4 linked regions of the Alligator mississippiensis genome follow. The protein of the gene in region 2 purifies or fractionates together with the protein of the main gene of each other region. This does not show direct contact. Links are inferred from orthologs where the notes say so. Each region holds a gene or a part of one and is shown on either strand. Other genes may lie near its edges. The genes, in order: PRRC1, PLK1, MASTL and BORA.

Evidence for each region.
Region 1: the proteins of PLK1 (region 2) and PRRC1 purify together in Homo sapiens (affinity purification with mass spectrometry; 3 studies listed by BioGRID and IntAct, counting the BioPlex papers as one, with this or other methods). This does not show direct contact. The link is inferred for Alligator mississippiensis from reciprocal best matches to the Homo sapiens genes PLK1 and PRRC1.
Region 3: the proteins of PLK1 (region 2) and MASTL purify together in Homo sapiens (affinity purification with mass spectrometry; 3 studies listed by BioGRID and IntAct, with this or other methods). This does not show direct contact. The link is inferred for Alligator mississippiensis from reciprocal best matches to the Homo sapiens genes PLK1 and MASTL.
Region 4: the proteins of PLK1 (region 2) and BORA purify together in Homo sapiens (affinity purification with mass spectrometry; 12 studies listed by BioGRID and IntAct, counting the BioPlex papers as one, with this or other methods). This does not show direct contact. The link is inferred for Alligator mississippiensis from reciprocal best matches to the Homo sapiens genes PLK1 and BORA.

Annotation. Positions count from the first base shown.
Region 1 is NC_081826.1:216,292,828-216,300,320, reverse strand, and holds the start of PRRC1 (protein PRRC1), read left to right. Parts: upstream 1-4,464; 5' UTR 4,465-4,574; intron 4,575-7,493. UniProt on the Homo sapiens protein: May act as a regulator of the protein kinase A (PKA) activity during embryonic development.
Region 2 is NC_081836.1:58,695,323-58,703,466, forward strand, and holds the start of PLK1 (serine/threonine-protein kinase PLK1), read left to right. Parts: upstream 1-5,140; 5' UTR 5,141-5,253; coding exon 5,254-5,673; intron 5,674-5,947; coding exon 5,948-6,116; intron 6,117-6,461; coding exon 6,462-6,606; intron 6,607-6,893; coding exon 6,894-6,987; intron 6,988-7,348; coding exon 7,349-7,568; intron 7,569-8,144. Other genes in the region: ras-related protein Rap-2a-like, read left to right, coding at 1,942-2,532. UniProt on the Homo sapiens protein: Serine/threonine-protein kinase that performs several important functions throughout M phase of the cell cycle, including the regulation of centrosome maturation and spindle assembly, the removal of cohesins from chromosome arms, the inactivation of anaphase-promoting complex/cyclosome (APC/C) inhibitors, and the regulation of mitotic exit and cytokinesis.
Region 3 is NC_081828.1:189,513,458-189,521,332, forward strand, and holds the start of MASTL (serine/threonine-protein kinase greatwall), read right to left. Parts: upstream 3,032-7,875; 5' UTR 2,625-3,031; coding exon 2,472-2,624; intron 1-2,471. Other genes in the region: ATP-dependent zinc metalloprotease YME1L1, read left to right, coding at 3,328-3,360, 5,706-5,837. UniProt on the Homo sapiens protein: Serine/threonine kinase that plays a key role in M phase by acting as a regulator of mitosis entry and maintenance.
Region 4 is NC_081824.1:390,151,435-390,159,078, reverse strand, and holds the start of BORA (protein aurora borealis), read left to right. Parts: upstream 1-4,540; 5' UTR 4,541-4,618; intron 4,619-6,594; 5' UTR 6,595-6,609; coding exon 6,610-6,765; intron 6,766-7,644. Other genes in the region: MZT1 (mitotic-spindle organizing protein 1), read right to left, coding at 4,021-4,069. UniProt on the Homo sapiens protein: Required for the activation of AURKA at the onset of mitosis.

The sequences.
Region 1 (7,493 bases), on a different chromosome or scaffold from region 2:
ATTGCTGATGTGGTGCCAGTACCCAAAACACAGTCTTGGCAATATCTTCTCTCCTCAATGGTACCTGCTAATACCCTTTTGCTAAGTATAAATCTAGCCTGTCCCCCTTTCTCCAACAACTCGCTAATCTGGGGCATGGGAAAGGCATCAAAGCGAGATATAGCATTTACTTTCCTGAAGTCCACACACAGCTGCAACGACCCATTGGGCTTAATCACTGCCATGATGGGGCTGCGCCAAGGACTCCGGGACTCCTGAATGATGCCTTGCTCTAGCATTTTAGTAATTTCCTCACGAATTGCCTGATATCTATAATATGGGATTCTCCTCCATTTTTCTCTCACAATCTGCCCAACAGGAGTTATTATCTAATGGATCATCCCTCTGGCACACCCTGGGATCTCAAAACATTTTGAAATCCCCTTGCCACGTCTCCCACTGATCTTGTTGCCGAGTGCTCAGTTGGGTCCTGACTGGGACCTTTATGGCTGCCGCATCTTGTCCCAGGTCCTCACCTAAGTCCCAATTGAACTCCTCGTCCAGTGAGGAGGAATCAACCAACAAACTCTCTTGTCCCCTCCATTCATTAAGCAAATTAACTTAGTATATCTGCTTTTCCTTTTTATGGCCTGGCTTGAAAACCTCATAATCAACAGGGCCAATCTGCCGAATTACTTCAAAGAGGCCCTGCCAACACCTTAGGAATTTACTTTCCACATCTGGGAGTAACACCAGTACCTTCTGGTCTATTTGAGTATCTCTCTCCTGAGTCCTTTTATCATAGTTGGTCTTTTGAGCCCTCGGCATTGCCCTCAGTTGTTCCCACGACAGTTCTTCCGCCATTTACAGGCGTTGCCTCAGCTCTCTCACATACTCTACATTATTGATGCCCTTTGGTGGGGCTTCCTCCCAAACTTCCTGCACCAAATCTAGCAAGCCCCTTGGGTGGTGTCCATATACCAGATCAAACGGGGCACACCCCAAAGACGACTGAGGGGCCTCTCGTGCCATGAATAACAAAGGCGGGATAGTAAGGTCCCATTTACGGGGCTCTGCCTGAACACACAGGTGCAGCATATTCTTCAGCATCCTGTTAAACCTTTCCACTAGGCCATTGGTTTGAGGATGGTATATGGCTGTATATAACTGCTTACTTTGCAATACCTTACACAGACTCCGAAAGACCCCCGACACTAAATTAGACTCTTGATCAGTAACAGTTTATTTGGGGTTGCCTACCCGGGTAATCCCTTTAAGGAGTTCCTCCGCCACTTGGGGACTGGTGACTCCTTGCATGGGGACTGCCTTTGGGAACTGGGTTGCATAATCTATGATTACCAAAAAAAATTGATACCCTGTTGAATACTTGGGGAGGGGTCCCACCACATCAAGTGCAATATGAGAAAATGGTATGTCTACTATGGGCATAGGTTGCAACTGCACCTGGGCTGGTTTGTTCCAGCTTACCTTTTGACAGGCCAGGCAAGCCTGGCAGAATCTCTCCACCTGGTCATAAATCTTGGGCCAGAAACACCACTTCGTCAGTCGGGCCTTGGTTTTGCTGCATCTCGTATGCCCACCCAGTGGATTTTCATGTGCTAACCTTAGTAGAGGACCCTAAACTGATGCAGTATTAACAGCTGAGGAATCTCCTCCCCCTCTCGTACCCCTTTTTTTTTATCCGATATAGCAACCTTCTCCTAACCTGAATCTCGGCAGGTTCGCATAGTGTCTTGGGTTCACCACATCCTCTTTCTCCTTAACCAATTTAGTCTCTATTATGGCCTGGAATTCATGCTCTTCAGCTTGGGCTCTTCGGAATGCCTTACTGTTGGACAAGCCTTCTACTTCAAAACTCTCAATGGCCGGAGCATCTTCCTTACTTCCGAACGGGTCACCTTCTCCCATCCTGTCTTCTCTTACTATGTGTAATACTTCATAAATTTCCCTCCAGTCTCGACCTAAGATCATCAGGTACTGTAAGTCACGAGCCACTCCAACCGGCATTTCTCTAGTGGTCTTCAACACAGTGACCTGGTAGACCCTCCGAGGATAATATGTGCTGTGCCCATGCATGCACGTCATTCTAACAGGGGTGGCTTTCCGTACATACTCGCCCGGTGTTATTCTCATGTTTTCAAATGGAGAGTGCGGCACCTTAGGTGCTGACTGCATCCTCCGAGCTCTATAGACCCTGTGGGTCTGCTGCTCCATTCCTGGGGACTTCAGTGCAGACTGGCAGCCGAGCAATTGCCCTGTCTGCTGGCCCCGTCTTTTGCTTTTCACCTGCTGTCTCCCTGTCAGCGCATAGTGCTGGAAATAGCTCCTGGAGTCCAGGTAGGGCCAATCCAGCTCACTTGGTGAGTTGGTGAGACTGACCCTGGGCGGATCAGAAGCCCCTTCCTGAGCGTGGCCACGCTGCTACTGCCAGATGCGCCCCTCTGACCGGGGAGTTCCCCTGGACAGGTATCATCAATCTTCCCACACATACCCCATTCTTTTTGGTGGCATATGGAACATCAGTCAATAAGAGTACAAAGTGTTCCCCACTATTCTGAAGCTTAGACATGAGCAAATGACCCCAATGAATTTCTTATATGAAACTCTGGAAGAAGAAAAGAGTTTTGTATTGGTTGGGCAATAGGAAATCTACAATCCAAAATGGAAAAAGTTTGCCCATATGATGTACAATCATACAGGGAAATTCTTAAGACACAGCCTAGTTTTGTTCCTGGTATCTGAAATTGTGTGGTTGATTATACTTGGTTACAAAGACGAAATCCAAAGTTAACCATAAAAAACACCTGAAAAGCTGTTAGACTGGCAAGACTTCAGGTTGTCTGTCCCAGAAACTGATAATATAGCTATAAAAACACAAGCTATTGAGAGAGAGGCATTCTTCATTAGAAGGAAAAGGAGAGTCTGATCCAGTCAATAGACTCCAAAGAAACAATAAAGGCTCTTTAGGGGCCCAATGAAGAGGCCCCTCCTGGACGGCTGAAATTTGGCAGGGAGAGAAAAGTTCCCAGGAGATGTGAATAGCTGTAAAATCTGTTGGGATTCTGGTGTGAAAATGTCTTGATAGAAAAACAGTATATAAATATGTGTAAATAAGTATGTATCAATTGTAATTTGAAAAATAATTCTCTATTTTGAGTGAGTCATAGATGGCTTTGCCATTTTGGAGTTCATTGGTACACAGAGCATAGCTGAGGCAATAGGAAGCTTTTTACAGTGGAAGCTGAGTGGCTCCCAGAAAGTATGGTGTTGAATTATGGGCCATCTCAAACTTCACTGCAGTTGATGGGCATGCTAGTGCTCTTTTATTTACGCTAAATGATGCAACAATTAAATGCTCCTTTGTTTAGTGATAGCAGAAAAATTGAGGCTACTATAGAAGGCTAGACTGAATGCAAATGTAATGGCTACTATTAATTTGGATGCATTTATTTGTCAATATGTGAGTAAAAAGGGAAGCAGACAGAGCAGAAGAAAACCAGGAGAAAGTAGCCTAAAAGCAGGACATAGCAAGAAAAGTACTGGTAGGTATGGGTCTCCTGGAAATGACAAACCAATGCTTTTTGTGCAGTGCCAGCTGGAAAGGCAGGCTTGAAACTACTTCCTGTTTTAATTCTATTGTGTTCAGTGAACCAAGAGATTATATATATGTATATCCTGGGTAAATTAATGGGACTGCTTTAAAGGAATGCTCATCTTTATCATTCATTTCTTCTAACAACCTGCAAGGAATAGCCTTGCATAACTGAACAGGCCAAAGGAGCTAAGTGTAGCAACACTGTATGGCTAATCTGAATAAATGACAGGTATTTTTTATTTTGAAATGCTTTCTTTTCAGGGGATTATAAATTTCTGCAAAAAAAAAAAAAAAATTGGGGGATACATTGTTGTAATGCTTCTTTTCAAACCAAAAGTTAACATCTTTGAAACTCTAGTCAAATTTTAATTGGACTTGAGTTATGAGTTTGCTTTTTTTTTTTTTTGTACTAATAGGAAAAGCTTCTTTTTTAGAAGTTCATGCTCAACAAATGTGTAGTTCTTTTAAAAAGCATGCTTTTTAACACTTTTACTGTTACTGATCATACATTGTAGAGAGGTCGAAATTATTGTACAAATAGGATAACGATCATACACGTATCAACTCTGGTATAGCCTAACCCAACCCTAACGCAGGGGCTCTATGACTAACATCCGCACGGCCCCAAAGGTGACACCCCCGGCACAACTCGCGCATGCGCCGCGGCGCCCTTGAGCTGCTTAGCAGCGGCCTGCAACCGCTCCTACGCCGCCCACTGTGCAGGCGCGGCCGGCCCCAGCTAAGCTCACAGGAGCGTTCTCCTCAGTTCGCGGCCAGGTCACGTGGATCTCTGCCCTTGCTGGGGGCGGGGGCAGGGCCAGTGCGGCTCCTCCCCCTGCCGGGCGAACGTGGCAGGGGGCGGTGGCGTCCCGCCCCCCCGCCGCGGCCATTTTAGATGCGGGCAGGGAGGGCGGACGCCGGCAGCAGCGCAGCCGGAGCCCCGCCAAGCAACCAGCGGCCCGGAGCCGGCGGCGCCCAGGTGATCAGGGTTGTTGGGGCGGGTCGGCGGTGTACATTGCTGGGCTGCGGGACAGATCCCCGCCCCTTCCTCTTGCCAGGCTGGGCACCACCGCGCCGCCAGCCGGAGACGTGGCAGCCCGACCGTCGGCTGCATGGCGCGTGCGCAGCACCCGCGGGCATCATGGGAGTTGTAGTCCGCGCCGGCGGGAGGGGGTGGTCAGCTCAGGCTTCTGCGAATGTTGGTGGCTCCAGCGCGCGTCGTGGCTGACTGCGCATGCCCGAGCTCGAGGACGCCGGCTGCGTTTGCGAGCCCGTGCTGAAACCCCCGGCGTGACGTCATAAGGGGGGGGTCCCTGTGCGCGTGCAGAGCGCCCCCCCGCGTCAACGTTCGAAGGCGGGTGGTTCTTCACAGTTTAGACTCGCGCTCCGCATAGATTAGTGCCTCACCCACGCACCACACCGCACCGGTTTAGTCTGCAGTCGTTTCTTGACCAGGGTGGGAATATTAGAGCCTTTCTTCTGTTGCCAGGCAGTTGGAAAGCCCTCGCAGGACAGCCTTTATTTAGTGCTGGGGCTTATTCTGAAACCTCTGGGTTTATGCGGGGAATTGTTTGCACAGCTCATGGGACTAACGTGGCATCCCCCCGCAGCACCCCTGAAAGGCTGCTGAGGTGCTGCGCATGGAAGTCTTTGGCTTAACACATCAGCCAGGGATGGTTTTGCTCACAAGTCCTGGGATCACGGTCTGGTTAGGTCTGAAGGGACATCACAAGGTCACAACTAGTCCGACCCCTTGGATTAAGTGCATAAACTGCTGCTAATAGGATAGCTGTGGCAGCCCTGGGAGCCAAGTCCTCTCTAAGTACATGATGCCGGCAGCAACTTGAATAGATGCTGCTTGCTTCACTGCCTCTTTTGCAGCATGGTCCCGTGTCTGACTGATCTAGTAGGATCACAGGAGAGGAGGGCTGGAAGGGGTCTCAGGAGGTTGCATGTAGTCCAGCCTCTGCTTGAGGCAGGGTCAATCCCTGACTAAACCACTCTAGCCAAATGTCCATCCAACCCGTTCTTGAAACTTTCCGGTGATGGAGATTACACAGTCTCTAGGCAGCCTGTCCCAATGTTTGACCATCCTTACAGTCAGGAAGTTCCTCTAAATCTCCAACTTAAATTTCCCCTGCTGCAACTTGAGGCCATGGCTCCTAGTTCTGGTCCCCTACAGCTACAGAGGAAAAACCTCTCTCTGTCCTTTTTTATAATCAGGTATTTTGAAGACTTATCAAATACCCACTCAGTTGTCTGTTCTCCAGGCTCAGGAGGCCTGATTCACAGATGCTAGGGTTGGAAGGGACCTCAACAGATCATCGAGTCCGACCTCCTGCCCTGGGCAGGAAAGAGTGCTGGGGTCAGATGACCCCAGCCAGATGCCTATCCAGCCTTCTCTTAAAGACCCCTAAGGTAGGGGAGAGCACCACCTCCCTTGGAAGCCCATTCCAAATATTGGCCACCCTTACCATGAAGAAGTTTTTCCTGATATCTAGCCTAAACCTACTCTCTGTCGGTTTGTGACCATTGTTATTTGGTACCCCAAGAGGTGCCCTGGTGAACAGAGCTCTCCGATCCCTTGCTGCATCCTTCTAATTAATTTGTAGGTGACCACAAGATCACCCCTTGGCCTTCTCTTGTGGAGGCTGAAGAGGCCCAGGTCCCTCGGTCTGTCCTCATAGGGCTTGTCCTGTAAGCCCCTGCCTGTAGAAGTGGCCCTCCTCTGAACCGTCTTGAGTCTGTCAACATTCTTCTTGAAGAAAGGTGCCCAAAACTGGACGCAGTACTCCAAATGCGGTCTGACCAATGTCGCAAAGAGAGGAAGTATCACCTCCTTGGGTCTATTTGTCATGCATCTGCTGATGCACGATAAAGTGTGGTTAGCTTTGGTGATGATTTTGTCATGCTGACGACTCATGTTCATCTTGGAGTTCACTATGACTCCAAGATCCCTTTCCGCTTCTGTGTTTCTGAGAGGGTCACTTCGCAGCTGGTAGGTGTGCTGGATATTTTTGCACCGTGGGTGCAGCACTCTGCACTTTTCCTTGTTGTACTGCATCCTATTGTGTCCTGCCCACTTTTCTAACCTGTCCAGGTCCGTCTGCAATCGTTCCTTACCCTCTGGAGTGTGCATTTCACACCACAATTTAGTATCATCCGCAAACTTGAACAGAGTACACGTCACACCCACATCCAAGTCACTGATGAAGATATTGAAGAGTATAGGTCCAAGGACCGAACCCTGCGGGGACCCCACTACTCGCATCCTTCCAGGTCAATACCGACCCATCTACTACCACTCCCTGGGTGTGGCCGATAAGCCAATTTGCCACCCACTGGACTGTGTAAACATCTATATCACAGCCTCTTAATTTATTTATGAGAATGAGATGAGATACCGTATTGAAGGCTTTGCTAAAATCCAAGAAAATGACATCTACCTCTACTCCTGCATCTAAGCATTTTGTGACCCTGTTATAAAAGGAAACCAGATTGGTCAGGCATGATCTACCTGATACGAATCCATCCTGGTTGCCCTGCTGCATTATTTTTCCCTCTGGACTCCCACAGATATGATCCTTCATAATCTTTTCAAAGACCTTTCCAAGGGTGGAGGTGAGACTAACTGACCTGTAATTACTCGGCTCCTCCTTCCTCCCCTTCTTGAAAATAGGGACCACACTGGCCCTTTTCCAGTCCTCCGGGACCTGACCAGAGCACCACAAGTGCTCAAACAGCCGTGCCAGTGGTTCTGCTATGACACTGGCCAATTCCTTCAGTACCCTCAGGTACAGCTCATCCGGGCTTGCTGACTTGAACACAGCCAGTCCATCCAGGTGACTGCACCAAGTCAGCGTCGACAGTTGTGGGATTCTTTCAGACTTTCCTCAGC
Region 2 (8,144 bases):
AAACTGCAACACAGCCGCCTCACCCACTTGCTAAACACTGCAAGGCTTTTTCTGGGCTGCCCAAGCAAAACACTTGTGCCCAGGGCATCGGGCCAACAGGTCCAAAATACAGGTGAGATGGTTCCTGGGGTAGCAACCTGCAAAGTCCACGGCCCCCGAATTCCCCTCTGCCCCCACACAGGCACTTATGTGCCCTCTGCTATTGTGTCTCACACGGATCAGGGCACGAGCCAGGACACACTCAGATCCCGGACATGCCACTCCTGGCCAGCTCCCCTGGGAGCCAACACGCCCCACACTCAGCTTTCCCCAGAACTGTAAAGCAGCCTGAGAAACCGGATGAGTCACCTGAGAAACTATTCAAAACAAAGGAGGCAGCAGGGCCGGTGAACTCAAGGAACCCATCCGTAGCGGGGCTACAGAGCCATCCCCGGCCCAGCCAGTCATGACCCTGTCCCACCTGGGCCAGCCCTTTGCTGGCTGAGGGGATGCAACAACCAGGGCTTCTCCTTCCCCAGGGAGGTGGCACGCCAGCGGGCTGACAATAAAGCATCTGCTTACAAACACGTTTCTTGCACCCACCAGGGACACCTCACCCAGGTGAGCACAGGGTCCACAAATCCCTGAGCCAGACACCAGAGCGCCCCAAGGGATGACAAGGTTGAATGGTCACAAACTCCTCTGTGACCAATTCAGGGTGGACATAAGGAAGAACTTCTTTACTGTCCGAGCCACCGAGGTCTGGAGTAGACTGCCGCCGGAGTTGGTGCAAGCACCTACCTTGAACGCTTTCAAGAGACATTTGGACGTCTATCTTGCTGGGATCCTTTGACCCTAGCTGACTTCCTGCCCTTTGGGCGATGGGCTGGACTCAATGATCTTCCAGGGTCCCTTCCAGCCCTAATGTCTATGAAATCTATGACAACAAGCTGACAAACACCTTGTGTTCAGAGCAAGAGAAACTCCAGCAAGAGCCTGGCCCATCCCTGGGCTGCAGCCGACCCCCGGGCAGGCCCTCCCACACACTGTCTGGCAAGGCCATGTGGGCAGGACACCCTGTTCCCATGGCAGATCCGCAAGGGAGCAACACGCAGCCCACTCTGCAGGGCTGGGGTGTGTATTCCTTTAGGGAGGGTGAATACATAACCCCAAGCAGGGAGAGAGAAAGTAGGCCACGCTGCCTCTCACTGCAAACCCAGGGCAGTCTGTGGCCCTGTCTGCAGAGCTGGACCACGGGAGTGACTAGCAGCCTGTTGGCAGGGGCTGCCCTGTCCGGGCCTGAAGGGGCGAAGGCTGGGCAATGCCACACATGAGCTAGGGCAGCATCCATAGCTCCCACGGGGCATCGCACCAGCTCCATCCGGGAGGAGGTTTGCTTTGCTGCCCCTCCAGCCTCCTGCCTGTCCTTCCTCAGCAGTTCTCCACCCAGCGCCTGCTCTGCTCCTTTCCCCTTGCGGGTTGCTCTGTCTCCTCTCCAGCCCCAACCCTCCGCTGCTCTCCCCCAGGCTCAGGTCCTTCCCCTAATGCATGCCAGGGCCCCTCGGGATCTCCGGAAGGGTTTGGAGGGATGAAAAGAGGGAAATCAGGCTGCGGGCTGTCAGGCCCGGGTGCTGCACTGCGCCAGTGCACAGAAACGTCCCGGGGGACAACGGGCGCACAAGGGACGCTCCCTTTCCAAGCCGGGCGGTGGACCCCCGCAGCAGACAGAGCGGGCAGCCCCACGGCCTCTTGCCAGTCACCCCCGCAGCGGGACCAGCCCGCGGAGCCCTGCTTGCGGGCGGCGGGGTCCCCTCCCTCGCCCAGCCCAGCGCCCCTGAGCCGCGCGCGGTGCCAGGCGGGCAGTGCCGTGCCAGGGGGCGGCGGCTGGGACGGGGCGGAGCCGGGCGCGGGGATAAAGCGGCGGCGGCGCCGGGCCGGGGCCGGGGCCGAGCCGGGCTGGAGATGGGGCCGGGCGCGGTGCAGGCGGAGACGAGCGTGCGGCTGGCCGTGCTGGGCGCGGCGGGCGTGGGCAAGACGGCGCTGGTGCGGCGGCTGCTGCGCGGCTCCTTCGAGGCGCGGCACCGGCGCACGGTGGAGGAGCTGCACGTGCTGGAGCTGGAGCCCGAGCCGGGCCGGCGGCTGCGCCTCGAGATCCTGGACACGAGCGGCAGCTACAGCTTCCCGGCCATGCGGCGCCTCTGCCTGAGCCGCGCCGACGCCTTCGTGCTGGTCTACTCGCTGCAGGAGCCCGACAGCTTCGGCGAGGTGCGGCGGCTGCGGGACGAGCTGCTGGCCGCGCGGCGGGACGCGGCGCCCGTGCTCGTCGTGGCCAACAAGAGCGACGCGGAGGCGGAGGAGCTGGCGGCCGAGGCGGGGGCCGCGCTGGCCGCCGCCGTGCAGCGCGACTGGGGCTGGGCGCACGTGCGGGCCTCGGCGCGCCTGGGCCACGGGCTGCGGGAGCTGCTGCGGGAGCTGCTGCGCCACGCGCCGCCGCCCAGCCCCAAGCCCGCGCCGCGCCGCGCGCACAGGGGCCCCGCCTGCGCCCTCTGCTAGCGCCGGCCGGACGGCGGGGGGCCGCCGGCGGCTCCCGGGACTCGCACTCGCACTCGAGCTGGGGTCATCTAGACCCAGCACTCTTTCCTGCCTGTGCAGGGGTCGGACTCGATGATCTATTGAGATCCCTTTAGACCCGAACATCTATGAATCGAGCAGCGCGCGCTCGCCACGGACCTCGCACCGGGGGCGGCGGGGCCGGCCCCGCGCCGGGCAGCGCACAGACTGAGGGGTCGGGAATAAAGTGTTGCACTGAGTCCTGCCTCCGCCCCGTCGTGTCCCCACGCCTGCTCCGGGACCACCGAGTCCAGCCCCGGCCGCCTCGGGGGCGCGGCGTCTCACCCTCGGGGGCGGCTTGGCACTGGACCCTCCCCGCGCGCACACACGCACACACATCATGGGGCAAAGCTGCCCGTGGCACCAAGCGTCCGGACTAGGGGCTGGAGGGGGTTATCGCTCCTGCCCGCCCGCCCGGCCCAGCCGGCCCGGGGCTGCGGGTCTGGGGCTATCGCACCTCCAGCCAAAACAGCCAGCGGCGCGGGCAGAGTCGCTCTCCCAACTCATGCCCCAGGCACAGCCCCAGCCCTAACCCTGCCCCTAACCCTGCCCTGGGCACAGCCCCCGCCCAAGCCCCAGGTACAGCCCCAGCCCTAACCCTGCCCTGGGCACTGACCAGTCCAACCCTAACCCTGCCCTGGGCACAGCCCCCGCCCAAGCCCCAGGTACAGCCCCAGCCCTAACCCTGCCCTGGGCACTGACCAGTCCAACCCTAACCCTGCCCTGGGCACAGCCCCCGCCCAAGCCCCAGGTACAGCCCCAGCCCTAACCCTGCCTTGGGCACTGACCCGCCCAACCCTAACCCTGCCCTGGGCACAGCCCCCGCCCAAGCCCCAGGTACAGCCCCAGCCCTAACCCTGCCTTGGGCACTGACCCGCCCAACCCTAACCCTGCCCTGGGCACAGCCCCCGCCCAAGCCCCAGGTACAGCCCCAGCCCTAACCCTGCCTTGGGCACTGACCCGCCCAACCCTAACCCTGCCCTGGGCACAGCCCCCGCCCAAGCCCCAGGTACAGCCCCAGCCCTAACCCTGCCTTGGGCACTGACCCGCCCAACCCTAACCCTGCCCTGGGCACAGCCCCCGCCCAAGCCCCAGGTACAGCCCCAGCCCTAACCCTGCCTTGGGCACTGACCCGCCCAACCCTAACCCTGCCCTGGGCACAGCCCCCGCCCAAGCCCCAGGTACAGCCCCAGCCCTAACCCTGCCTTGGGCACTGACCAGTCCAACCCTAACCCTGCCCTGGGCACTGACCAGTCCAACCCTAACCCTGCCCTGGGCACAGCCCCCGCCCAAGCCCCAGGTACAGCCCCAGCCCTAACCCTGCCTTGGGCACTGACCCGCCCAACCCTAACCCTGCCCTGGGCACAGCCCCCGCCCAAGCCCCAGGCACGGCCCCAACCCCTGCCCCTGCAGGAGGCTGAGGTTGGTTGCTTATTCCCCGTTTCTCATGGCTGGTTCCTTCTTCAAAGCTAATCTAGACGCAATACAAGTTTGTTATTATTAATTACACATCCATAAAGAGAGGACATTTAGGGGCAGCCCCGCGAGGCCGAGCCGCGCTTTGGGCCAGGCTAGACCCTGGTCGGGGGTGTCTGGGAGAGTCCCCCAGGGGTACAGTCACAGCGTGGGGTGGCCCGAGGAGGATTTCCAGCCGCAATCCCAGCCCGAAACCCGGTTCTTTACCCAATCCAATATACTTAGTTCTCGGCTATGGGGCTGGCAGGGGGCAGGGCCAAGCCGTGCTTTGGGCAGAGCTGTGCTCAGGGTCTTTGGGACAGTGCCTCGGTGGCATGGATGGGAAGTGTGGGGTGGCCCAAGAAGTATTTTGCCCCCTAATCCCATCCTCATCTGGGATGAGGCTCTGTACTTGATACATGATATTATTTTACATATTAATTATGGCTTTTAAGGAGAGGCTAAAGGAACTGGGCTGATTGAGTCTGGGGAAGGGAAGACCGGGGAATTTGATAGCAGCCTTCACCTCCCTGCCGGGGCTGCACAGAGGATGGAGCTGGGCTGGTCTCAGTGGGGCAGATGGCAGGACAAGGAGCAATGGGCTCCAGCTGCAGCGAGGGAGGTTGAGGTTGGATACGAGGAGAGACTCTCCCACTCGGAGGGCGGTGAAGCACTGGAGCGGGTTCCCCAGGGAGGTGGTGGGGTCTCTATCGTCTTTAAGCCCTGGCCGGGGTGATGTAGGTGGGGCTGGTCCTGCTCGGAGCAGGGGCTGGACTAGAGGTGACCGCCTGAGCGCCCTGCCAGCCGGAACTTCCTATAGGCTCAGCTGATGAAAGTCTCTCTCTTGAGGATGTGTCATTCATTAATTTATTGGGTCTAGATTCGTTTAGGAAAAGGAACCGGGACTAAACCTGCAGGGGCAGTGCCCCCGGGACAGGCGCGCACCGCCGCGCCTGTCTCTTTAAAAAGGGGCGGGGCGAGGCGAAGCGCTCCCATGGTGCCTTGCGGCGGGCGGCTTGGATTTTAAATCGTAGCAGCCAATCCGTGCGCGCGGGTTCGTAACGCTCCGGCCCCGGGTTTCAAATCGGTGCCGCCGCTGCCGCCGCCGCGCAGCTCGGGCCGGGGCCGCGGGACGGGGGACGGGGCCGGGGGCAGCGGGGCGGCAGTGGCAGAGGCAGAGGCAGAGGAGGCGCGGAGCAGAGCGGCAGCATGAGCGCGGTGTCCGCCAAGGGGACGCGGCCGCCCGGCGCGGCGGAGCCGGGGAAGGCGGCGGCGGCGGCGGCGGCGGGGCCCGGGGCGGGGGCGGCCGGGGGGCCTGCGGCCGCCGGGGCCAAGGAGATCCCGAAGGTGCTGGCCGACCCGCGGTCGCGGCGCAGCTACGTGCGCGGGCGCTTCCTGGGCAAGGGCGGCTTCGCCAAGTGCTACGAGATCACGGAGCTGGAGAGCAAGGAGGTGTTCGCCGGCAAGATCGTGCCCAAGGCGCTGCTGGCCAAGCCGCACCAGAAGGAGAAGATGTCCATGGAGATCGCCATCCACCGCAGCCTGGCGCACCGCCACGTCGTCGGCTTCCAGGGCTTCTTCGAGGACAGCGACTTCGTCTTCGTCGTGCTCGAGCTCTGCCGCCGCCGGGTCAGCGCGGGCGCGGGCGCGGGCGCGGGGCCCGGCGGGAACCGCCCATGCCGAGCGAGCGTTCCGCGCGGGGGTCTGAACGTTCCGCGCGGGGGTCCGAACGTTCCGCGGGCGAGTCCGAGCGTTCCACGCGGGTGTACGAACGTTCCGCGGGCGAGTCCGAGCGTTCCGCGCGGGTGTACGAACGTTCCGCGGGCCTTAAAGGGGCCGGGGGGAGGCGGGCTGGTAGCTGGTGCTCACGCTCCCCTCCACGCTCCTTCTCCCCCTTGCCCAGTCGCTGCTGGAGCTGCACAAGCGGAGGAAGGCGCTGACGGAGCCCGAGGCGCGGTACTACCTGCGGCAAACCATCCTGGGCTGCCAGTACCTGCACAGCAACCGCGTGATTCACCGCGACCTCAAGTTGGGCAACCTGTTCCTCAATGACGACATGGAGGTGAAAATAGGTACAGGCCTCCCCGCCCTGCGGGGCACGGGTTCTTCCTGGAGCTGTCGGAGCCCTGGGGTCCCTCCCTCCCGTGTCCGTGTGCAGCTGGGGTAAAGGGGTAAATCAGTAGCTTCTGCCACTGTGAAGCGGAACAGCAGCCTCTCACCCCAACCCTGGGCAAGCACGTCCCTCTGTCCAGGAGCAAACTCCACCAGGCACTCGAGATGGGGTCTTGGGAGGGTGTTGCTGCAGGTCCACGCAGGTGGCTCAGCAGGGCACGCCGCGGCCCTCGACATCCACAGGCAACAGCTGAGCCTGAAGTTAAGCCGATGCAAGCAAATTCTCTTCTGTCTGAATCTTTAAGGCGACTTTGGGCTGGCCACCAGGGTAGAGTACGACGGGGAGCGCAAGAAGACCCTGTGTGGTACACCAAACTACATTGCACCCGAAGTGCTGGGCAAGAAGGGGCACAGCTTTGAAGTGGACATCTGGTCCATCGGCTGCATCATGTGAGTTCATAGGATCGTAGGACGTGAGGGTGGGATGGGACCTCGGGAAGTCGCATCTAGTCCAACCCCTGCTCCAAGCAGGACCAGCCCCAGCTGCATCATCCCAGCCAAGGCTTTGTCTAGCTGGTGCTTAAACACTCCCGAGGACGGAGACTGCACCACCTCTCTGGGGAGCCTGTTCCAGCGCTTCACTACAGATTGGGGGTTACCTCTGGGGCATAAGTCCTGCAGCCTCCTGAACTCTCTTGCATGAACCCGTGACAGGCCGCTCTCTCCTCCGTACGCAGGTACACACTGCTAGTGGGGAAGCCGCCATTTGAAACCTCTTGCCTAAAAGAGACGTACATCCGTATCAAGAAGAATGAGTACACCATCCCAAAGGTAGGTGGGGCCTGCTGGAGGGCCCGTGCTCCCTCTCCAGCAGGGATGCCAGGGTGGGGCGCAAGCCAAACTCTCTTGCTTGCTGTGAAATGGTTCCTAGCACCCTGTGCACGCTCCTGGGAGGGGCCCTGGGTCTCTGGCTCCTCCGCTGCTGTCCACCAGGCTAGTCCATCATAGCACTGAGCCTCACAGGAGAGCTAGCTATATCTTGCCATCCTCAGCTCCTCCGGGCTCGTGCCCTGGTCTCTCCATGGCTCTGTTTGGAGCAGGAAAGCCCTGCATGTTGGGGGGTTTGGCCCTTCCACTAGTACAGAAGCACACCGGTCCCTTCCAGCCACAAACTGCCGGTCTCCTCTTTCAGCACATCAACCCGGTAGCTGCTAGCCTCATCCAGAAGATGCTGAGGTCAGACCCTGCCACCCGCCCCACCATTGACGAGTTGCTGAATGACGAGTTCTTCACGTCGGGTTACATCCCCGCCCGCCTGCCCACCACCTGTCTCACTGTCCCGCCGAGGTTTTCCATCACTCCCACTGCCCTCGACGCAAACGGGCGGAAGCCCCTTACTGCACTTAACAAAGGTGGGGCCCTGCATGGCAAAGGAGGGAGTGTTCAGGGCCTAGAAATGCCACGTGCAGGGCAAACGGTGTCTGTCCAGGGCTAAGAGCAAGCTACAGATGACAGCCAGAACCACTGATGAGCTTGCACGGAGGTCTGGGGTTCGTGGCAGTCTGGTGCTGCCCTTCCCTCCACAGGAGCAATAACTGACCCCCTAGCGGAGAGCCCAGCTCCTTGAGCTCTTGTCAGACAGTACCAAGGGGCTCACCCTGCCCCGTGGCACCCCGACAGCATGGGGCAGCCCAGGAGCAGCCCTCCACTCTGCCCTGGCTCCTGACAGTACTGATGCCTGGTTGTTTGGATGCAACTGGCAGCTCTTGTAGCCTCACGGGTCAGTGGTGGCAGCACTGGATCCTCATGTCTCCACGTCTGGAATGCAAGGGAAGGGCTGCCCAGCACCTGTTGCCCGAAGGGGAGACGCGAGCTTCCCTTCCACCGAGGAACCAGCCAGTCTTTCCCTGCCACTGGTAGCAGGGTGCAACTCTGCCATTCGCAAGGCCTGGGTTTTCATGAGGACCCTCCTCAGGTTGAGTTGTGGT
Region 3 (7,875 bases), on a different chromosome or scaffold from region 2:
GAAAACAGGGAAGGCTTGGTGTTCATAAGTAACACTGAACCAAATCAAAGTGAAGCAGTTCAGAGTAATGCTTGATTTTCCAACTACATTTTTGAACCATTCCAGGTGGCTCTAAACCAGTTAAACAGCCTTGTATGTTCATCTGCTTCAGATTTAAGCCACAATTAAACCAATTAAAATGTCATGTGTTCATACACTGAATAATCATTTATATACTTTTCAATTTGTTTTTTAATTGAAAGCTGAACACTGCTACATTTATGAACAACCTAAACACAGTGATAACAATGCTGGTCTCTGTATATATTCCATCAGCAAAGATGGTCTCTTCCAAAAGCTTCATTTTGGAAGGTTCCGTGCTAATTTCTCAGCACTGCAAGAATCATACTCTTCATATCCTGTCTGCTGATTAGAGGAGCACTTGTCAATGTAAGATCCAATCAGTATAAATGAGGAAAACCACCCCTACACCCAGCTGAACTGTGGCTTCACATTTACACTTCCCTTTGAGAAAGTTTCTCTCTCCTACCTGTGCTGAGGGCCCAGTTAGATGACTGACTATAAAGATGCAATACAGAAACAAAAACATGGGAGGTTCTCATTTTACTACCTATTCTGATGTAAACATGATTTAAACTGACTCTGTACTTTTATTTTAAGTAGAAGCAAAGCTCTATTCATTGTCACAGGGGACACTTAAATCAGTGATTCTCCACCTTTTAAACCAAAAGGGCTCCTGGTTCAACTCAAGACATCCCTCTGAAAATGCCAACTTTGTTTTCACTTCCTCTTATTTTTCCCTAGTCAAAAAAACCCCACAATTCCTCTGTTGCAAAGAGCTCAGAAGCAGCGCAGAGCCCAATGTTTTTAGGCCATGGATTCCAAAATGAAACCACTGAGTTTACCTGGTGAATCTGGTAAACCCTCGGCAGAGTTAACAGCACTTGAGGATCCTCAAGCCCCAACATCCTGCGCAGATGATGCCCAACTTCTGCACTCCCAAAACAAGCGTTCCAGCAACGGTTGGAGATCTCACAGCAGCCAGAGAAAAAGGTATGAGGACACACTGAAGGCATCCTCAAGGAAATAGATGCCCATGCCAAGAGCTGGGAGAAGCTGGCTGCTGACCAGCTCCAACACCACAACCTCAATCATGTGGCAGGTGGTTGGGAGGCCAAGCGCCTCGCCCACAAAGCAGATGAGAGAAGGGAGGAAGGAAAAGGATAGGAATCCAGGTGGGCTGGTCACCCCCTCCCCTGCCAAAATGCCTGCAAATCCCATGAATGGGGCTGTGGCCCAAGGCTTGGACTCTTAAGTCACCTCAAGACCAGTCCATGAACTGCAGGAGAGCATCCTCCTAGCCAGGGACTGCCCACAGCCAGGACGACACCAGCCAACAGTGTGTGGCCCCCGTGGCACCCTTGGAAGGGCCTCCAGGAAGCTCAGGGTACTGTACAACAGCAGGGGTGGGGACGGACACTCATTGGCTTGAAGCAACTGTTCCTGAAAGGGCATAGCATTGCCATGTCCTAAATATGAAATGATCATACTGGAAGCTCAAAATTATTGTATTTGTTGAAAAAACTACCATATACTGTAGGATTACCATCTGTCAGGGTTTTCCTGGATATGTCCTCTTTTTGAGCCTTCTGATCTCTGCGTGGGTGGGTTTTTTAAATTTGACCAAATGTCTGGGGTTTTGCTTTGCTCCACTGGTGGGAGCAGGGGAAGGCCGATCGGAGGTAGCAAGGGGCACGAAGGTACCTGCCTGCAGCTGTGTTGGCACGTGCAGACTCATGTGGTGCTACCTGCTGCCTCCGATCACCTTGCCCCTGCTCCCACCAGTGGAGTGAGGGGCACTATCATGGCCTGGGGGGGAAAAGTACTGTGGTTTTGGAGTAAGGGGCACTGGCAGGGCTGGGGTCAGTGGGTCAGGAGTAATGTGGGTCAGGAGTAAGAGGCAGCAGCCGGGCTGGGGGGCTGGAGCTCGGCAGTGAGGGGCAACAGAATGGGCAGGGCACCAGCATGTCACTGCCTACCCCCCATCCTACCCCCCCCCCGACAGGTGTCCTCTTTTTTGGACCTGGAAATATGGGAACCTTAATACACCGAAGAGTTATGCAAACAACTGTGCAAACAAGCCCTCTTATTTACTTTATATTGCTCGCTATAACTTGCCAGTGAGCGAGTAAGAACTGGGTTAAAGTTGAAGCATTTTTTGTTTTTATGCAAGCTGTCATAAGAAAGTGCTGAAGCAAACCCAGAAGTCAGTTACGACTCTCCAAGAGTGACCTGGGTCTTGCATGCGCTTGCATCAAGCAGGTGCCGCAAAAATGATTGTACAGGTTGAACTGCACCGTGCAGGGGTCGAAATGACGGCACCAATATGATCGTTACGTCACCTGTAACACTGAACAGCGTGTCCAAGGCCTCCCCACGGACGCCCCAGGCCGGGCCCGGCCACTGCTCACCTTGACGGCGTAGAGCCGGCCGCCCTTGCGGCCCAGGTACACCTTCCCGAAGGCGCCGCGGCTGATGGGCTTCACGATGGTGAAGTCCTCGATGGAAGGCGGTCGTGGCACCGAGATGCTCCTCGCGCCCCCCCGCGCCTCCGGCGTGTCCATGGCCTGGCCAGGCCCGGCCACTGCTACTGTTGGCGGCCACAGCCCGCGCCAATTCAAAGCTAAACCTCGCCCCCGCTGACGTCATCGACCAACGGCCACGAAAGACCGAGTACCGCCAAGCCTCGCGAGCACTCCTAAGAGCACGGGAAAAGTGGTGCGCATGCGCGTGGCGGTCAGCTGCCTCCGGAGTGACCCAACGGCCCCTTGCTATCTGTATTCCTCACACGCGCGTGTACGCCTCCCCATCCCCAGGACAGGAACCGGCCGAGGCTTTGCGTGCCTGCATACGGGACCGTGTGGCTTCCGCGGACGAAGGAAGGGGGGCCGGCAGTTGCACCAGCCCGAAAGCTGGTGTCCAGCCGCCACGCATTCTCCCCCAACCCTCCCCCGAGACCCGGCCACGTGACAGCGTCCCGCACGAGTGACGTACGCAACACGCTCAGGCGCAGTGGGGAGAATGGTTTGTTCCTAACCTCCCCCCCGCCCAAAGAATGGTTTGCTCCCCGCGAGAGGAACGTAACTGCGTCACACACAGTCGTTGCTATAGAGCCCAGTAGCTGGAGGGCGGAAGTGGGGAATATGTGCGACCCGGAAGCGGCTCCTGCTCCCCCATTTTCCAGGGCAGCTGCAGGACCTGGCTTTGTCGGTAGCAGGAGGCGGCCATTTTCTCTACGGACGTTCAGCGCTTCGGGGCGGGAGAAGGATGTTTTCCCTGTCTACCAGCGTGCAGCCCCAGGTGTGACCCGGGCTGGGTGGTTCCTTCGGCGGGGGAGCAACTGGGCGGCCGTCACCGGGGGCTGAAGGGCGGGAGCGGCGCCCGAGGGCGGAGGAGGCCGCGTCTGGGACCTTCCCATCTCAGGGTGGCTTTTGCTAGGGGTGGCACCGAGGCAGCTCCTGGGGGCTGTCCGCCGTCGCCGCTGGGGCGGCAACTTGTCTCTCACTATTTCCCCCTCCACCGCGGTCTGGTCCCTCCCGGCGGGGCGTGTGGGGCTTCGTCGGGTCCCGCATTCCCTGCTTATCAAGTCTCGTTCCCGGCCTGTGCTCCGCCAGCGGGGTGACGCACCAGGGTTTTTTTTTCTTGCCTGGCTACTGCTGGGCCCACTGACTTCCCCGACTAAGTGACTTCGGCTTTGAATGCACCGACGTGGGGATGTTTGCCTGAGTGCGTCACGCTGGCGTCATTTTTCCTTAGTTCCTGCTACGTAAGAGCCGAGTCATAACAACATCACACTGGTTGTTGGGCCGTTTTAGTTTTGCTAACAGCACCGTATGCTGGCTCTTGGCCCGATTCCTTAATTGCTATGTATGCGTTATAAATAAACTGGCTGGCTTGAGACCTGCTGAAGAGTACTTTATACTAAACTGGTGCTTCTCTAATGGCTTTCTTAGTTTCTGCTAGATTTACCTCTTCTCGTGAACCAGTTGGCATGATATAATCTGGGTAATAAGCTAAACACACAATTCTTAACTGTTTAAAGGGGCAGTGTCAGGTTAAAGTCTAAATTTGCTACTGCTTTATGTTTAAGGTTCTTGGTCCTTTTTTTTTTGTCATTTTAGAATTCCATTTCCTCTTCCTCTGTACTTTTTCTCTAACTGCTGTGTACAAGACACATTCAGATTGGAAATTTCCTAACCCCAGGGATTTTGTTTAATGAAACTGAAAATACCTTTCTTTCATGTCAGTTACAGTAATTTAGGTGTCACAACAGAGGTAAAAAATTGAAGCGTGATTTAACTGACAGTTTGTCTCTATTTCTCAAGGATATTGCTAACTTCTTCCCATTGCAGTAGGACTCAACCATGGCAGCACATGTCAGATTATATCTTGGATCTCTTGCCCGCTAGGCAGAATAGTACCGTATTTTCGAGCATATAGCCTGCCCATGAGTATAAGTCACACCCACGTATAACCCGCGGAAAATTGTATTTTTGTAAATTAATCCGTGTATGCGCTGCACCTGTGTATTCCCTGCGGCAGCGTATACACGGGGAGGCAGCGCAGCTCAGCCTGCCCTGGCCCTGGCCCTGGCCCCCGTGGCAGCGGCGGCACAGCCCGGCCTGCCCGGGCCCAGCAGGGAGGCGGCACAGCCCGGCCTGCCTGGGCCTCTGCGGTCATGGCGGCGCAGCCTGGCCTGCCTGGGCCCAGCGGGAAGGCGGCGCAGCCCGCCCCAGCCCCCGCAGCGGTGGCACAGCCCGGCCTGCCTGGGCCCTGTGGGGGAAAAAAAGTCTGTCAGTAACCCGCACCCATACATTTTTGGGGGGGTAAAATTGTGTATACCCTGCGGGATATATGCGCGAAAATACGGTAGTTGTTTGAGGTTGTAGCATGGATCCAAGCAGGACAGGATTCATTATATAAGGCATTGAGACTAATACTTTTCACAACAGATACATACTAGTCCTGTGACTTGGTTTTCTTCCTGCCTTGCGATTCATGTGTATGTTGATGTGCTCTTTGCGCCTACACCTGCAAGAACACGCAAATGGTACAACAGTCAGTGTTGTAGTATCAGCTATCGCTAATATGACAAACAAGTTGGTACCATCAGAAAAGTGGCAAAGCTACTGCTTAAAGACAAAGAATAGATTGTTTCTTCATTTTCCATGGTAATTGAGAAAACTTATGTAAAAATAAGTAATTTTGTTTCAGAAAACTAATGACTAGTTCAAATACAAATGGAGGCTGTTGCTTTGTTTGCAAGTTGAACTTTTGTCTCTTAACTCTGTATTTGAGGTTCTGGTGAATGTTATTACATCATTTAGGATCCAGTCATGGAACCTGGATCCTGTTTTCCTCTGGCAAACTTAGTGCAGCTAAGCTGTTTTGGATACTTATTATTCTATTTCTCTTCCTCTGTAAATCAACTTCTCTTCTTACCCTGTGCTCAGTGAACCACTGAGATTTTCAGTTGAAAAGTACCATATAAAATATAGAATGTTATACTTGTGCACTGTCTGTCATGAGAATGCGTTTAGGTGTCTTGGTAAAAGTACAAACCTGGATACCTGACTTAGTGAAAGTTCTACATTTAATTTTTCATTATTTAATTTTAGATTGATTTAATCTTTAATTTCTTCCAGGTTACTGTTCCTCTGAGTCACCTCATCAATGCTTTCCATTCACCCAAAAGCTCAGTCACTTCTGCCAGCACAGCAGCTATTCACTCTCTACAAAAGGATACAGCCCCTGAACATGATGCCCAGAGTAGTAAGGTAATAGGAATTTTGTAGAGATCAGCATTTTTTGCGTTTGAATTGGGTCTGAAAAGTACTAGTTTAAAAAAAAAAAAAGTCAAGTAACTTGCATGTAATATTTGATACATCTTAAACGTGCATAAGATGATATGCTTATCTTCTAAATTCTGTATGTGGTAATAAAAGGCCATTGAAATTTATTTTTAAAACCCTCCTTTTCTGTGTGATGCATTGTCATGATTCACTTTGATTTAACAACGCTGGGTTTGACGCAGCCTTTAAGACAATAATGCTAACTTGTAAACAAAGTCATAAGCAGGAGTCTAAAATTTAGATTTTGAGAAGGTATTGGAAACAGTAGGAAAAAAAGCATAAATTATGAACAAATAGAACTTTGTGAAAAAGAGATGTACTACAGTACCGTAGCAGTTGTCAGGATATAAGAGGTAAAGTCCTCGCTTGTTAAGATCAACAAAGTGACTAGTATGTGTCTCGGGCAGTTTAAGAGGAAGGATTAGCTTCTGTATTTCAAACTTTCTTGATGACCTTGTAAAATGATGAAAAGAAAGCTTGTTTGTAATAACCTTGATTTTACTTTCCTTGCCAATTATTAGTATGCTTATAATAGTTTTGACTAGTGGGTGTTTTTTTGTTTTTTTTTTTGCACTAAATATTGTTTTTTATTTAAGTGGTATTTCTTTTTATGGCTCCTTTTTGTGCATAGCCAAGTCTGTGTTTATCTTTACCAAACTCTGTGGGCACTTTTAACAAGTAATAGACAGAAAAACTTCTTGATGGGTAATTAGAACGTAAAAAATAGTCCATAATGATTGGTCATTTCATGGAAACCACCCTGATTGTGCCTATTACACCTTCCTTCTGTTCTCTCTCAGTCATGCCAACAAAATTCAGGAACGACTTAAGATAAAAATATGGGTTTATAAATATGCTGATTCTCACTGAGACTAAAACTTTCAGAAATACCTAATTTAGATTTCTAAATCCAATTTTCATGTCTTTATGGAAATTCAGGGCTATGTACCCACCAGCAATGTCTTCTGTACTCACCGCTGTGTCCTGTTAATATGTTGACACCCGTGTGTCAGTTTGTCTTGCACAATGATCAGAGAGTGACTACAGCTTGACTAGAATGACTAAATAGGTGTTTAGTTTGTTTAATGCCTTATTATTTTGTCAGTTGGTGAGAGAACTTGTTTACCTTTAAAACCAAGGCTATATTTTTATAGTGTGTTTTCCTACCTAATTCATCTTTCTTCTTCCATTTCTAACCACCTTCCAGGGTAATTAAAACTCAATGTTTTAAAAAGAAACTCCTTTTGTTTGTACCTATCCTCTAACACAAGTGTTTCTCAACCTGTGGGTTGCGACCCAAAAGTGAGTTGCAACAATATTTGAAAGGCTCTTGAGCAAGTCTCAGAAAAATGAGGGAAAGCATAGGTTTCCCCTTGCAGGCTGGCAGCATTCCAGCCTACAAGGAGCTGCTTGGGGCAGTTGGGCACGTGTGCTTCTGCATGTGCACATGCACGTGGCTAGTATGCAGCCAGTCAGGTTGGAGGCCCAGGGCTTGGGGACTGTTTGGGGAGTGGGTGTTTGGGGAGGGGCTTTGTCTATGCATGCATAACCTCTAGTTAGGTCTCTGCATTATGACAAAAAATAGTTCAGATCTTTAAAAAAAAGTGGTATTTTAGTTATCTCGTGTGACATTTTAGTTTCCAGGTGAACAGCAATTTGAGACAGATCACATGTAAAAATAATTGCTGCTTGTTAAAATATACAATTTATTCTAGTTTAGCATAATTAAAATGTAAAATCAGAAACTGAAAAAATAATCCTTGTTAAACGTGTGTAAATAAGATGTTTCCCTGGTTTGCAATAAAAAGTCCCAAATCTAGTCCAAGAGCTATAAATTGGTTGCAAACCAACCCATATGTATCTGCTTCTAGATACTTGTGGGTTGGTTTGCCTTTAAGAAAGTTGTCTCAGACGGTCGGAGCTGACTTGAGGAGGATCGCTGATTACTTGGCCGTCAGGCGGG
Region 4 (7,644 bases), on a different chromosome or scaffold from region 2:
CCTGGCACCAGGGAGACCAGTGGTTCTTAATCTTTTTAACATCAAGGCATGCATAGTTCAGTGACTCTGCTGGGGTAACACAATTCTCAAAGATTATGGAGGGGTGGCTTGAGGCTAAAAAGGCTGAGATTCACTGCTGTAAACACAGAGCTGCTACACCAGTCTCAACCATGTGCTCCATGCCCCAGGCTAGAGTGGGGATGGAAATGGAAGGTAACTGGCAATGATGGGGAAGGGGCGGGTAGACGTAGCAGCTCTGACACTGACTCTGGGTCAGAGCCACAGCAGCTGCCTGCTAACAACAGCTCCCCACCACCCCAATGCTAAAATCAGAAAAAAAACCCAAAAAACCTTGTCTTGGATTTGAGCAAATCCAGTACTATTCACCTCATCTTTCACTTAAAGAACTGAAGCAAGGCAAAGGATAAATTCTGAAAAGCTGATAAATAATTCAGGAACCTTATTTTAAAACCACTCTAGTGTTCATGACTGAAATTACTGGGAGTTAGGATGATAGGCACGTTTGAAAATTCCTCTTGGTACCTAAATACCTTAAACATCTGGGCCTATTGTAGCCTGTTTCTTTGAAAGTCAACAGAACTAAGGTCTTCACTGCCTAGGTAACTTAAAAAAAATAAAGACAAACAGACTTAGGCACTTTCACAATGTTACCCAAAACAATATGTCAGGGGCACACAAGAGCCACTTACACGAATGAAATTCTACAGGTGTCATAAGTTTTGCCAGCAAAGTTCTCCAAGACCTAGAGTTATCCTTGCAGGAATGCTCAGAACTGTCACAAACATGGCAAAACTGGATAGCCTGGTGATTATCTCCAATTTAAGCATGTCAAGATTCACAAACTTGGGTATTCCTGTGTGCAAGTCCTCTGAGGGGCCTGGATCCTATACATGTGATAGCACTTAATTCAGAAAGCACAGCAGACAGCTACTTAAATTAAAAAGCAGAGCCAGAGGAGGCAGTGTCCACCTTTTATGCAATATCCTAATACAAGGGTGTCCAATTCAAGGCTTCTGGCTGCCCAGACAATCCACCTCTGGCAGAAGGGCAATGGCTTGTTACAGCTCGGGAACCCAGAAGGTGAATTCTGCTGTTGCTCACCTTCCCTGCACTGCCCTCCATTTTCTCTCTGCCATGAACCTCAGTTGCCAATGGTAACCCAGAATTCCCTAGCAGACAAAGATGTGTGCAGGGAGCAGGCAAGGGCTGAGTGGTGGTAATCTCTGACTTCCAGAACCACGTTGACAGTGCCGCTGGAACCCAGCTCAGGAAAGTGGTACTTCAATTTATGATTTGTTCTTACTCAGTAAGTGTCTTTGGTTTCTTGAGAACAGTAAAACATTAAAATAGAAGTTGAATCAGATAACCATTGAATCAAGAACCAATGAATAGAAACTGGAAGTATAATAAAATGTTAGGTTGGAAATTTAGAGGAAAATCTCCAACCATGAAAACTAAATAGCTCTGGAACAGCCTTCCAACAGCAGTAATGGGTATGAAGTTCTTACTAGGTTTAAAATGGAGCTTAGGCAGTTTATGAAAGTGACTGTATGACATCATCAATTTTGATATTAGGGCATGGAACATGATCAACCCTTCTAGACCTATGTTCCCAACTAGTGTTTGAAACCCTCTGTTGCCACCCATTCATTCAAGTAAATGTGAAGTGTTGCTTCTTATTCCCCTCAAACAAGAAATTTAACTCTTAAACTAATTAACAAGTTTGAAGGAAAGAATATTTAGCAATCTCTCTCTCATATTTTATACCACCATTGTGAGCTCTTCCCTAAACTATTGTTTACAAAGGTCTTTTCAATAGGCCTATCCAGTTTCCATATGTGAAAATTACTAATGGACACAGTTGATGAACCTAAAAATTCTTCAGCCATTTTCCTGTAACTCTTACTGCTGACAGGAAAAAAAAAACAACATCAGAGCAACACTAACATCTATTTTTACTCAATTTTTTTAAAGTACCTTCAGGTTCCATTATTATTGTATCTAATTATCCCACTATTTCACTATGTCTAGAGAGAGATTAGAAGAATTCTCTAGACAAAGACTGGGTACTGAAGGGTGAACCTCATTCTGCCCCATTTGTGCCTGGTCACAAAAATAAAAGAAAAAAACCGACTTGTAACTAACTGAAATGGGCACAATAAAGTTGTGCTGCAAAAAACAAAATAGGACCCGATTCTGAAAAACAAAATAGTTATAAAGAGACAATATCTCAAGCTCACCCAGCATACTTGATTTGATCAAGCTACAGAAAATCACTACCTTGATTACATAGTGGAAAGAGCTTATTTACATTGTTTAACAGAACAATGAACAGAAAAATTCAGGGTCTGGACTCCAGGAATACTCAGATTAGTGTAAATGTAGTTTGAATCTGAGACAGACAGGTGTACAGGCCTGTTATAACAGTATAAGGCTGCCTGGAACAGGTCAAAAGTGGTGCTTGATTTTCCAGGTACCTTTTGAACCAGTTCACTGTGATATTAGATGTGGATACAAAATGTTCCATGACACCAGTTTGGTCAGTCCTCCATTAACTCCTCATTGCATCAACCTCTTTCTCCCAAACTCTATTACCTCTGACATGTCTCCCCTTGTGTTGGCATTTTCATCACTGAGCTCTTTTGCACTGCTCGTTCAACCAAAGCTATCCAACAACCAGCTGAATCTGCACTCCCTACTCCACTGTGGCCCCTCATTATACTTCCCCAGGCCCTAGGAAGTCAAAAGTGCAAATCTAAGCACTTTCCCCCCCTCCATTCCCCCAGACCACCCCAAATGAGGCAAGCCCATGGCAGACTTTGCACCACTGCACTTGGGTTTACAGAAGGGAAAGCAGAAAAGGCAAATGCCCCTAGCCACAAGTCCCTCACCATTTGGACCCTGAAGAAAAAAGTCCAGATATAGTGGGCTCATTCCTGCCTCCTGGTGATGGAGTCACAGCACTTCATAAGACCTGTCAGTTACTGGGTCAATTACATACTTCCATCTTACCCGGCATCCATCTGCCTGACCAGGAAGAAGGTTCTGGCCCAGAGGACCCCCAGTGATTGCAAGGTCATCCTCCTGCCTCTCATCCACCTTGTTCAAGGGCCAGTGGGCACTGTCCAGTGTCCTGTGCTCACAGCCCCCTCTTGGTGCATTTGTTGTGAACAGAGATCCTGGTTTTCTCCGATTAAAAAAATTCTCAATTTTCAGTTTAAGACAAAAGTAACCCAAAATCCACATTTTTCCACAATTAAAATGAAGCGCCACTAATATCTAGTGGATTTGGTCAAGCTACAGATACATATCTATATATTAGTGGCTTTTCATTTTAACCACAGGAACATGTGGATTTTGAGTTACTGCTTTAATCTGAAAATTAGATTTTATACTTTTTAAATCAGAGAAAACCAGGATCCCTAGCTATGACCCTCTGACCTTCACTTCCATTCCCGCTTTGTAATTAGCTGGTACCTACCTAATACCCCTCTTGCGTTAGCAGTGGCTAACCCTTGCTCCAGGACTCAAGGCCTAGGACACCACCGTGGGTGTCCAATAGGCTTGTTTCATCCACGTCAGCCTCTGGGCAGTGCTGCGGGCTCACTCCATGGGATCACACGGGGGCCAAGGGGCCCCTTGGAGAACTCGTTACTGGCCTCTGCCCTTCCCTCCTACCCCCATCAGTGTTTTGGAAATCTGTCGCTGAACACTAAACTGCTCCTGGGCATCTAACGGCGGGGCTGTTCTCGTCTTGACCCGTGCTCGTATTTCTTTCGCACAAATCAAGCACGGGAGGAAAGTCTGCAGGCCCACCGCGCGGGGAGGGAGAGCGCGGGGGGGAAACCAGGGCGGCGCTCGTTTCCTCGGGGGAAGGAACAGAGCTGCTCCTCCTGCTGCCGCAAACCCCTGCTGAGGCCGGTCCAGCTCCGGACGCTTCGGACGCCAAATACGAGTGGATCCAACGGGCGCCGCAGCGAGCGCCCGCGCCCAACTCACCGTCCATGGTCTCCCGCACAGCGTTCAAGTTGGCCGCGTTACTCGCCATGGTGACAGACAGCGTGCGCCTAACCCGCCACCCGGAAGCACAAACCCGGAAGCGGAAGCCCCTCTTAACAGGGAAATACATAAAACATACATTCAATTGTATATATTTATTCATATAATATATATTATATTTTCTATGAAAATATATTATATTTCCTTGTTAGGAGGAAAAGATAAAATATAATTTATTTTTATATAAAACAACAAAACTAAAAAAACCCCAAAACAAAACAACTCTCCCCCCCCAAAAATCCCACCTCTCGCCGGCGCATGCAGTTACACCTCAGGAGCTATTTCCGTCCCTGCCCGGCCCGCTATGATGTTTCAAATACACCCCACCTACTCCTCCGTGAGGAGGGTTACTCGTTCGAATTTGTGAAGCGAGCCCTGCGCCGATTGGGCTGTTTGAGAGCGGTTGCCACGCGATTGGTCAGGCAGGTGAGGCGGCGCTCGATGATTGGGTAGCGGCGGAGCGTGGGGGCCGGGCCAGTTAAAGAGCTGCCTGGGGTCAGGCAGAGGCGGTTTCACAGGGATCCGCGGGCGGAGGCAGGTATCGCTCAATTTTTGGGTCATCTTTTTTTTCCCTCTCCCTCTACACAGGCCTTCCTGGGCTAGTGCGGGCTAGAGCCCCCATCCCCCCTAGGCTGATTATTTCCTTGGGGGGGGGGGGGGATATTGTCTTTGCGCATGCACAGAGCGGGCCGGGATTAGGAGAGAATCGGGGTTCTGAGAGGTGCTGACCCTACGACCGCGCATGCGCAGAACAGGCCAGAAGTGGCGCATCGAGGGGCTCTGCGGATGCAAAGCTGGAGGAAGGAAAGAGCCTCGGGGTCCCTCGTCCCTTCTCCCTCCCTCCCCCTCCTTTCCTCCCCCACTGCCCCTCCAGGTTTGGTTGCATATTTCACTTAATTTCCTAAAAATAAAGTTTCAGTGGCAATAGTGTGGCTTTTTTTTAGCCTGCCACAGGCCCTGTGCATCATGTGTCACTTGACTTTCTTGGCCAGCTTGAAGGGAGAAGAAAAAGTTCTTACTTTCCGGGATAAGCATACAACTAAGGCAGTGCTGGGGCCATGTGCCCAGTCCAGATATTTCTCATCTGCCCAATCTGGTGTGGTGGGTTAAAGGGCACTCATTGGATTCAACCCCTGTCTGTGGTAACGGGGCTAAAGCTGCTCTCTAATCCTGTGTGCTGGCTCCAGTCGATGCTAGGGCTGTGTCATCTGGCTTGGGACTCTAGTTAATGCAGCCACTGCTTTCCCCCACAAAATTTCCAGACCTGGGGGAATCGGTATCAAGGGCTGGGCGGGGCTTCAACTGACAAGAGTGCACAAAGCTAGTCAAACACAGCGTGGAGCGGAGGAGGGTTGTTACAGGGTCTGAGGTACCCCAATGGTCGCAGCAGCCTCTGGACTGACTTGTCTTGAGGATCAGTATTTATTGCATATAATGCACATCCCATTTTCCCTGAACTCATTTTTGTGGGTGGGAGGGGGGTGGAGGATGCAGGTTTTATCCAAGAAAAGGTTCTGTCTTCTCTGGGAGAAGCATGGTTTTGAGTGGTACCTGTATACCGTTATGCTTTCCATATACAGCCTTTCAGTAAAGAGGTTTCTTCAGACACTTGAGGCCAGATGCTGTTCCGTCTGTTTCAACAGTCCCTAGGCGTGGTTCTCTTCCACTGTGAAAGCCCCAGGAAAACTTAAAACCGTATTGGATCCTTCTCCACCTCCTTGTTGCTACTTTTTTGTGATGGAGTCTTAAGGTTAAGATCAGTGCAGTTACAAAGCAAGATGTATGGGTTTGGATGATTGGCCAGGAATTCAAACTGGGTGGAATAGGATCACGCTTAGGGTATGAACAGGCATCTTGTATGTCCTGGGACCAATTGTGCAGGTAATTGTCCTGGAACAGAAAAGTCATGTGATAGCCGTGTACATGTTGCCCTTCCAGTTGGAGTTTAGTTAGTGGCTGAACGCATGGCTGCTTTTCTGGCATTGATCCAGTGATGCAATCCCCACATGTCTGTTGAGATGCTCTTCAAAATATCCTGGGGCATATTTAGCTATCTTATCTAGTAAACCTTTTTTGGGGTCTGTACTGGGTCAATGAAAATGGCATCTGAATGATGGATTCACTGAGGTTCACCTTCAAATTAAAACCAGGTATAGAAACCAGGTATAGAGTCATTATCCTGTGATAATTACAGTGTACTTGTAGCTGGCCTAAATTTATTGAGCAGTTAACCAGTTAATTGCATGATAACTACCTTGCACATGTAGCTGGTCTACACTTATTGCACAATTAACCAGTTAGTTGCATAACATATGTCTCATGTAGCAGGGGCCTAATTCTCTTTCTCTGATTTATCTGAAACCGATCAGAAAACTGACCAAATTTAAACTTCTTGTACTCTCTTCAGTCTGACTAGATTTTGAATTGCTAATGTTTCTCGAAACGATCGTTTCTTACTGCAAAACCATGGGGTACTGAATGATCTAAAATTATAACTTCTTATTTTCCTTCTAGGTATTGTACTGTGTTATGGGTGATAGAAAAGAAGCTAAAATGCATATAACACCGGAAACTCCAGGACGGGTTGCTGTTCTGAACCCTTTTGAAAGTCCAAGTGATTACCATAGTCTGCAGGAACACGTGGTTTCCAGTCCTTCTGTCTTTAAATCAACGAAAGCCTCATCGGTAAGATTTAATCCTTAGTACATGAATATGGAAGAAATAGCAATACTTCCACATACACATTTTTCACACTTCGTAAAGTACACATGATTTGTAATACAACTTGAAATATTTTTACAAGAATTTAAACATAGTTCCTTCTGTGGAAACTTACAGTATTACTATGGTTGGTTTGTTTGTAGTGCTGTGTAACTGTTTTGAAAGTCTTGATGTTACTGCAGTTTTAGTGATTTTAAGAAAACCCAGCTAGTTGTACATGACACTATTCTAATAGTATTGTTGAGTTAAAGATGAACAATACTGGTTAGCTAGGTTTTCTTTAGAGAAATGCTGTCTGCAGTAACACTTGTTCCAACATTTTGATTCAAGTAGGCTGGGTGTAAGTTTAAACTCAATAGTCATAATGCCCCCTACTCCATGCTTTATCTGGCCTTGTTTAAGGCTTGAACTCTCTTCTATACAGTGGCCTAGTTTCAACACGGAGGATGGGAAGTGTCTCTACCACAGAACATGCAGAGTCCAGTGGTTACCTGAATAACTCCATAGGGAGGTAGTTGATGTAGGTTTGAATCTGGGTCTCTGGTGAGGTCTGTAGCTACTGGGCTATCACATAAGATGGACACCACTAGCACCTTCTTTCCCTTTTTAAAAAGAAAGCAGCCATAACTGCATTTTTGTATGAATGAAGCCTTGTATACGGATGCATGTTAGGTGTGCTCTGAAGACACAGTTCATGTCTATCAGGGGACTTAGGTAGGGGACTTTCTAGGTTTTGAATTTTAGCTGGTCTTTGGTATGATTTTGGCCCTAGTTGTTCAGACAGGAATCATCTTGTGCCACATGTGGAGATGTAGCTCTAGGTGACATACTTCTTGACTTTAA